2 linked regions of the Canis lupus familiaris genome follow. The protein of the gene in region 2 interacts with the protein of the main gene of each other region in a pairwise test. Links are inferred from orthologs where the notes say so. Each region holds a gene or a part of one and is shown on either strand. Other genes may lie near its edges.

Region 1 (4,178 bases), on a different chromosome or scaffold from region 2:
AACTCTACTGGAGATATATATTATTATTCATATATATTAAAATACACACACATTACTTTTAAGCTATAGAAATGTAACTACAGTAATCTCAGAGAAAAGATGAGAAGCGCCTATAAGTTCACCATATAGGAGGCAGGTCTGCTCTGATCACCATTTCCCAGGGATCATGTTCCCATTTTTCATTGCACTTGACTTTCAGTCCTCAATAAGTCCTAAAAACTCGAAGGTACCAAGAAGAAGGCCAACTTGAAAACCATTTGTAGCTATGGGACATTTTTATATCCACTGGGTGAGTCAGTAACAATCACTACTAGGTTGGATAGGTTATTATTCTCAAAACATCTGATAATCATTCCATTAGCTAAAAGAAAACAGACATTCAGGTTATATATTGAAATTATTCCTTCTACTAAGAAAGTCAATGAGGCATAAAGGGGTTAAACACCATTTCCATTGTTTTATAATTTAGTAGTTGAAAACCAGGACTGGGCTGCTCTTCACAGTTTTAATCAGTTGTTTATCCATTAATTCTACTTGGAAATCTTCAATTTTATTTTCTATAGCATTTCTGAAACTTGGAAGTATATTTTTGAACAGTCACATTAGAGTAATAGGAAAATGAGCCTGAACTCCTGAGAGGCAGGTGTCCTGTCTCTTTCGGTGGTTTTTGCTATAAAAAGAGCTAAGGCTAATGCTGAATTTGTGTGTACTCAGAAATAAACCACGAAATAAGCATACCGGTATTCATTCAGCTGTAAGTGGCTCTTAACTTCAGCGCCATCAAAAATATTTATTTGCCCATAGATGAGTCTAACTGTGATAAAGACTACAAAAACTTAGGAAAACAAGATCTCCCACTTTGCCTGAGAAGTTAAGCATATGAAATGTTAATTGAATAACTGGTGTTTGCTATTTTTAGTAGTTTGTTTAACCAGCCATCAAAATAAATTATTTGTAATTAAAGTGATAACTGGTACTTTTTTCAAATCAAGCAAGAAATATATGAAAACACCAACTGTGTGTGGTCTCTCTTGAATCTGGTCATAGCATACCTTTGTGGCTTTTCTCAAGATATGAGACATGGAAACAGGCATTAAGATGCCCAAGAATTGACAGGTAGGATAGTCTGAAAACCGTAAACGGCACTTAACTCAGCTTTCCCCAAGAAACATTATGGTGCTTGCTATCAGGTCGGTTGGCTTTTTTAGTCAGAACTAGCCCCAAACCTATTTTTTTTTCCATAAATGAACAACATAATACATCAATAAAAAGACAAATACCCAACGTGTAAAAAAAAAAAAAAAAAAAAAAGACAAAAAATCCAATTAAAATATATGCAAAGAATTTGAATAGACAGGTCTCCAAAGAAGCTATTCAAATAGCCAATAAGCACATGAAAAGATACTCCATATGATTAGTCATTAGGTCAATGTGAATCAATACCACTTCACACCCTCTAGAATGGCTAAAATAAAAACCAGCCAATACATGATCACAAGTGTTGGTGAAGATGTGTAGAAACTGGAACCCTCACACAGTGCTTGGCAGAATGTAAAAGGAAGCAGCTACCGGGCAAAAAGTCTGGCAGTTCCTCAAAAAGTTAAACACAAAGACACCCAAGAGAAATGAAAGCATATGCCCACATAAAAACGTGTACACAAATGTTCATGGCAGCATTATTCACAAGGCCAAAAAGTGGAAACATCCGGGATTGTCCATCAAGCGATGAATGGATAAACAATATGTGATATTATGGTACAGCAATACAATGGAATATTACCTAGGCATAAAAAAAGAATAAAGTACCAGTACAAGCTAGAACATGGATAAACCTTGAAAGCATTTTTCTATGTGAAGGAAGCCAGACACAAAAAGCACATGTTGTATTAGTCCTTTTATATGAAATTTCCAGAATAGGCAAATCCATAGAGAAGGGAAAGTAAATTACCGGCTGCCAGACGATGGGGTAGGGGTGAAATGAGAAATGACTGCTAATGGGTCCAGGGTTTCATTTTGAGATGAAAACGCTCAGGATAGTGCTGATAGCTGCAAAACTTTGTGACTAAAGTAAAAGCCACAGTTTAAAAGGGCAAATTTTATGGTATGCGCATTATATCTCAATTAAAAAAAAAAAACAAACCAAGCTTGCACGTACAGAAAGAGGACGTATATGTGCAACATGTCTGTAAATGGAATATACATCATTACATACGAACGTATCATCTCTTCCTGTAGATGAACGTTTGGGGTATTGTTTTAATTGAGATATATTTTACTTAAAGAAAGGAATGGAAGGCGGCAGCGACCCGGAGCAGTGCCGCGCCCCGAAGCGGTGGGGCCGGGGTTGCCGAGCCCGCCCCGCGGCGTCTGCATCCGCGCTCCCCTCCCCTCCCCTCCCCGCCCTCGGCCACCCCCAACCCCGCCCCGCCGCGCCCCCTCCCCGCCGCCGCCCAGGGCCAGCCGCAGGCGCGGGGGCCGCGGGGGAGGGGGCTCCGCGGGGGAGGGGGCTCCGCGGGGCTGGGGGCTCCGCGGGGCTGGGGGCTCCGCGGGGCAGGGGGCGGCTGCTCCCCGCCGCCCGGCCCTCCCGCGCCCCTGCCGCAGAGGGCCCGGCCGGGCGCCCCCACCTCCCTCCGGTACCTGGGATGCGCCCGAACCCCGCGCCGCGGCCACGGCGCAGACTTCCCCTCCATTATCACCTGCCCCGGAGCGCGGCCGCGCCGGCCCGGGGGAGGGGGGACCCGGGCGGGGCGGGGGATGGAAGGAGCGTTCGTTCACCTAGTCCCCCGCGGCGGCGTGGCGGCGGCCCCGGGCCGCGGCTCCTTCCTGCTCGCGCGCCTCCTCGCGCCCTCGCGGCCCTGCGCTGACAGCCCCGGAGCCGGCGCCCGCGGCCCGCGCGCTCCCCGCCGCCGCCCCCGCCCCCGCCCCCGCCCCCGCCCCCGCCCCGCGCACGCGCAGCCGCGCCGCCGCCTCGGGGGAGGCGAGAGGCTGCTGATGTGGCCGCGGGGGCGGCGACCTGGAGCGCGAGCGCCGCCCCGCCCCGACCCCCGGCCGCACCCTGCAAGCCGCGGGCCTGGGGTGGGGGCCGGATGGAGGAGCGGACGCCGGAGTCTCCAGGGAACCCGGGGCGGGGCGGGGCGGGGCGGGGCGGGGGCTCGTCATCCCCGCAGCCCGACGCCCATCCACATCGCCAGCTGTTCCTAGGTCCGAACCCCCGAATCTATGACTCATGATTTCTGTGCTCAGACCGGGGCCTCCTGGTGGCTGGGCTCGTGTTTCCTTCTCGCAGACGGGAATTAAAACCAAGGCGTATGTAACTCTGTGCCTGGCTGTCTGCAGAGCAGCGCAGGAACAGCCGTGTAGCTGCGCTTGGCCGAGGTCGAAGAGGGTGGGGGTGGGGGCGGGGGCGGGGACCAGGACCACTAAGGGGATGGGATGTAGGGCGGCCCCCAGCACCTTCCCAGGGGGAGAGGGGTGTAGGAGCCAAGTGCGCGGGTGCAGTGCAGGTGGCTGGGATACTAAGACTTTTCAAGTTCGCCACCATCTAGGTAAAAGTGACCAAAATTTGCCACGTAAAGCCGAGAACTCTTACCTAACAACTATTGAGCACCTTTTGTATGACTCAGGTAATGGCCCATGCCTGGGGGACATTCCAGTGACCAAAACAAAGGTGTCCGTCCTCAGGCATTTATTCTGAAAGATGTCATTTTAAAAATTACAGAGCTAGTGGCACTCTTTTTCCTCAGATCAAAGCTTCCATCAATTCTAAGTCACACCAGTGATTTAGTAGCAGCTTTTCAGGTGCTAAGGGACACTGGATCGTACATTTACCCAGGTTTTTGTTTTTCTGCTTCGCAATCAGATTGCGTTTTGACCTTAACCTTCTGGGTGAAGTGTGCTTTCATATCAATCTTGACCATCTACGGTTATGCTTTTTATAATGGTGAATGCAGGTGTTCTTCACAATCTAAACACCATTAGGAATGAAAGGATAATTGCAAAGAATATGGAAAAACAGTGTTTTGACCATATTTCCAAGTGGATTTTGTTCTTACTGTTCTGAATTACATTTCACTAGGAGGTAAGTTTGCCAGAAGTAAAATTCCAACTGGGTAAGTGTTCGTCCCCTGGGTCACGTAGTCTTCCAAGACTTCTGCACAAGGTTTGAATTGGACAAACCA
Region 2 (3,644 bases):
CTTCTGGAATCTTGGTCCTAAAAGAAGACTCAATAAACCTGAGACTCACTGAAAAAGACACAAACCTCACCCCCACCCCCGCCCCGCAGGCATAAAGTGGGGGGTGGAGTCCACCCCTGCCCTAGAGTCCCAGAGAAACTCTGAGTCTTGTTTGGGAGAGTAATTGAGCAGAAGCCTCAGCTCCTAGCTAGGGCATCAGCTGGAAAACAGCAGAAGAGAAAACCGGTTTGATCAAGAGACCCTCTTACCCTTTGGGGGGTCACACACTCTTTTGCTGAAAATTCCCCTGTGAAATATGCACACTGACCTACACACAGCAGTTTCCTCATGGGAGGACACCTCCAGACCCATCCATTTAAGAACCCCTGCTTTAAAGGTTCATACAGCTCCACGGTGGGCGAAGGGGAGCCAAGCCAAGCAGTATGACTCTGTTGTCCCCTCAGGTTGCCCAGAAGCGAGAATGAGGAGGAAGTAGAGCCCCAGACCATGGTAAGCAGTCCCCACCCACTCCAGGCCCTTGAGGAGGGTGATGCAGTGACAGCTCCTCCCAGCCCTCACCCACACTCCCACTTCTCTTGAGCAGACAGAAAAATCATTTGGCCAAGAGATAACAAGGCCCTTGCTATAGCTAATGAGAGCGGACAGCGTCGTGGGGGAAGGCCTGCAGGCCAGTGGGCGGCCAGAATGTTCCCAGGGGACCCCCCAAGCGCATACATGGGGCGGCAGCCGCTAAGCCACAGGCCTCACAGACGTGGCTACACCCCCGGAATGCGAAAATGCACACGCACATGCACCCACACACAGGAAGGGGCTGGGCCCTCCCCAGCCAACCCCAGAACTCCCTGGGGCACACACCTGTCATGGCTCTCCCTCCTGGCACCACACACACCAGCAGCTTTGCGCCTCCAAGCAGCAGGGTGAGGTGCAGGTACCAGTCTCATTCTCAGGCTGGGAAAGGGAGTGAAGCTCAGAGAGGAGAGACAGGGAGCCCATAAGTCCTCAGGATGGGAATGTGGGATCCCAGGTATTTGCCGGGCATCCAGGCCGCTTGGAGTCCAAAGCATCCAAGATGGTCTCTCTGAGCAGCCTGACCGCAAAGCCCACCTCCCACTCCCCTCTACGGATACTGGGCCCCACCTCAGTTTCCTCCAAGCTGACTTGACCATGATTTCTCCCTAGTATCAGAGTGGGGGCGGGGAGGGCTAAGGGCCATGTGAAAGCCCCCATGCCCCCCCCCCCACAGAGCAGGCACACAGTAGGTAGGTGGCAGTGGTGAAGGTAGGGGCTGTGATTCAGTAGGGTCCGGTGGTCCTGTGATTCCTTATTATTGCTTTTACTGCCATCATCAGCATCCATGGGACGAAGATGTGGGTGGGAAAGCCTGAGACCAACACAGGGGGTGCCCTTTCAGAGAGACATGGGGGATGAGGTGGCCCCTGGAGGGAATATTTGGGGCTTTCATCTTAAAGCACCTGCAGGTTCTGATGCAGGCAGAGAGCGTGCCCACACTGGACTAGGCCCAGTACAGGGTTAGACTCATGGAGAAGATGGGGTCTCTGCCCCCACGGAGCTTGGATACTTCCAGAATCAGATGCAAATGGAAATAGTAGTATTGAACAGCTCACATAATTATGGAGTGCCCACTGTGTGCCAGGCACAGGGCTCTGCTCTGAGAGCCCTCTGGCTTTTTGGCTTTTACCTGCATTCCCTTCTGCAGACTCCGCTTCAGCCCTGTGAGGAGGGTACTGTCATGGACCCTGTCCAGCAGGTAAGGCAAGTGGGCCATGGAGATGTGGGGTGACCTACGGGGCATACAGCTGGAAGCTGGCAGAACTGAGAACCCAACCCGGCAGGCTGTCTCACTGTGTTCCACCCCTTTCCATGTGGTCACTTCTGTCCTGGTTCAGTGGCCTGAACCAAGGGCCTCTCCCAATCCAAGACCTGAGAGTTCCAAGTTTGTCTCCTTTGTCCCTCCAGGACAGTCTGCCTATCCCTCTGGGGGACCCTCATCCTGGAGACATCCCAGGAAGCCCTCCTGAGAGGTAAACAGGGACCTGTGGGGACTGGAAGGGACTTGGAGGCACAGGAAGGGTCCAGCATGACTGCTCTGCTCTCCTTTCTGTCCAGCAGCCCTGCTGAACCAGAGCTGCAGCAAGCCCTGGTGCCTGTGGTAAAAGAGCTGGTCCCAGTCAGGAGGCCAGTCTGGGGCCAGGTCCACGGCCAACTCTGCCTGCCCACCATGTACCACCAGCCTCTCAGGTGCGCCCCAGAACGTCTCCAGAAGGAGAGTGGCAGTCACACGGTGGGGCTCTACACCACCAGCATCCCCTGCACCTTGCTAAACACTGGACTGCCTCCCACCAGGGTCCCTCGGCACCCGCTGATTCCGGTACCCGTCCTGGGCCTGCTGCTGCTGCTCCTGCTCTCCATCCTGCTGCTGGGCCAGTCCCCGCCCCCCACCTGGCCCCACCTCCAGCTCTGCTACCTCCAGCCTCCTCCAGTGTGAGGCGCTCAGAGCAAGGCCTAGGCAGAGAATCCTCGGGGGCTCTTCCTACTGTTATTACCATTGTTGTGCCACCATGACCTGGGAGGACCCAGGTCCCGGAACCCCAGATACAGTGCTCCAGGACACACACCCCTGTATTGGGTTTTTATGTGAAGTCTTTTGTTTTTTTTTAACATCAGTGACCACAATTCTTAACAATACCAAAACACACCCAATAATGGATTAAATGCTAGGGGCTTATTTTTGAAACCAGCCTGGAGAAGAACTGTGGGTCCACAGCTCTGGATCTCCACAGCCTGGGGGTCAAGGGAGCTGGGATTCTTTATCATCCTCCTGGCCCTTCCTCTTGATCAGGAGGTGGCAGACATAGCTTCATGTGTCACATCTGCAGGAAGAAGGGGACATGTCCCTTTGTTTATAAAGAAAACCAGTAGCCTTCCCAGAGCCAACCGCAGAGCCGTGTTTCTGTCTCATTGGCTGGAAGTGTTTATTGTGACCACTCTTAGCTGCAAGAGAGGCTGGGAGACAGAGCACCTCTTTCCTCTCCTGGCAGAAAGAGGGAGAGATACATGTGGGTCCTGCACACATCACAGATGTCCACTGCAGTGCAAACAGCTGGCAGGAGATGGACCAGTGTGCCATTTGTTCACTCATCACTAACTGCTCATCCATGTGCCACAATTAGACCTTAGAAGATAAAGCTGTAGGGGCATCTGACCTCTGCTCAGGTCATGATCTCGAGGTCCTCGGATGGAACCTCACCTCAGTCTCCCCACTCAGCAGGAAGTCTGTTTGTCCCTCTGCCCCTCCCCCCATGTTTGTGTGCTCTTTCAAATAAAATATTTTAAAAATTCATTAAATTATTTTTTTTAAGGAAAATAAAACCGTAGAAAAATAGGCCCCTCCAATGCCAGCCTGAGGAGCACTGGTTTTCTCCTCAGGATAATGGGAGCTTTGGGAGATTTTATTGCTTGTTTTTTTTTTGTTGTTGTTTTTTTTTTTTTTGGTTGAGTTTTAATTGAGATGTAACAAATATAAATGGACATGCTCGCTTCATCAGCACATGTACTAAAATTAGAACCATACAGTTAAGTGGACACATCTTAGTATCAGGTGCATTAGTTTTTGCATAATGCAA

The links.
Region 1: the proteins of KASH5 (region 2) and SLC41A2 interact in binary tests that used the Homo sapiens proteins (3 or more experiments, as listed by UniProt). The two-hybrid records come from large-scale screens. The link is inferred for Canis lupus familiaris from reciprocal best matches to the Homo sapiens genes KASH5 and SLC41A2.

The regions. Positions count from the first base shown.
Region 1 is NC_049231.1:34,451,993-34,456,170, reverse strand, and holds the start of SLC41A2 (solute carrier family 41 member 2), read right to left. Parts: upstream 2,870-4,178; 5' UTR 2,776-2,869; intron 1-2,775. UniProt on the Homo sapiens protein: Acts as a plasma-membrane magnesium transporter. Can also mediate the transport of other divalent metal cations in an order of Ba(2+) > Ni(2+) > Co(2+) > Fe(2+) > Mn(2+).
Region 2 is NC_049222.1:107,750,011-107,753,654, reverse strand, and holds the end of KASH5 (protein KASH5), read left to right. Parts: intron 1-443; coding exon 444-489; intron 490-1,717; coding exon 1,718-1,768; intron 1,769-1,977; coding exon 1,978-2,042; intron 2,043-2,127; coding exon 2,128-2,259; intron 2,260-2,364; coding exon 2,365-2,506; 3' UTR 2,507-3,361; downstream 3,362-3,644. UniProt on the Homo sapiens protein: As a component of the LINC (LInker of Nucleoskeleton and Cytoskeleton) complex, involved in the connection between the nuclear lamina and the cytoskeleton.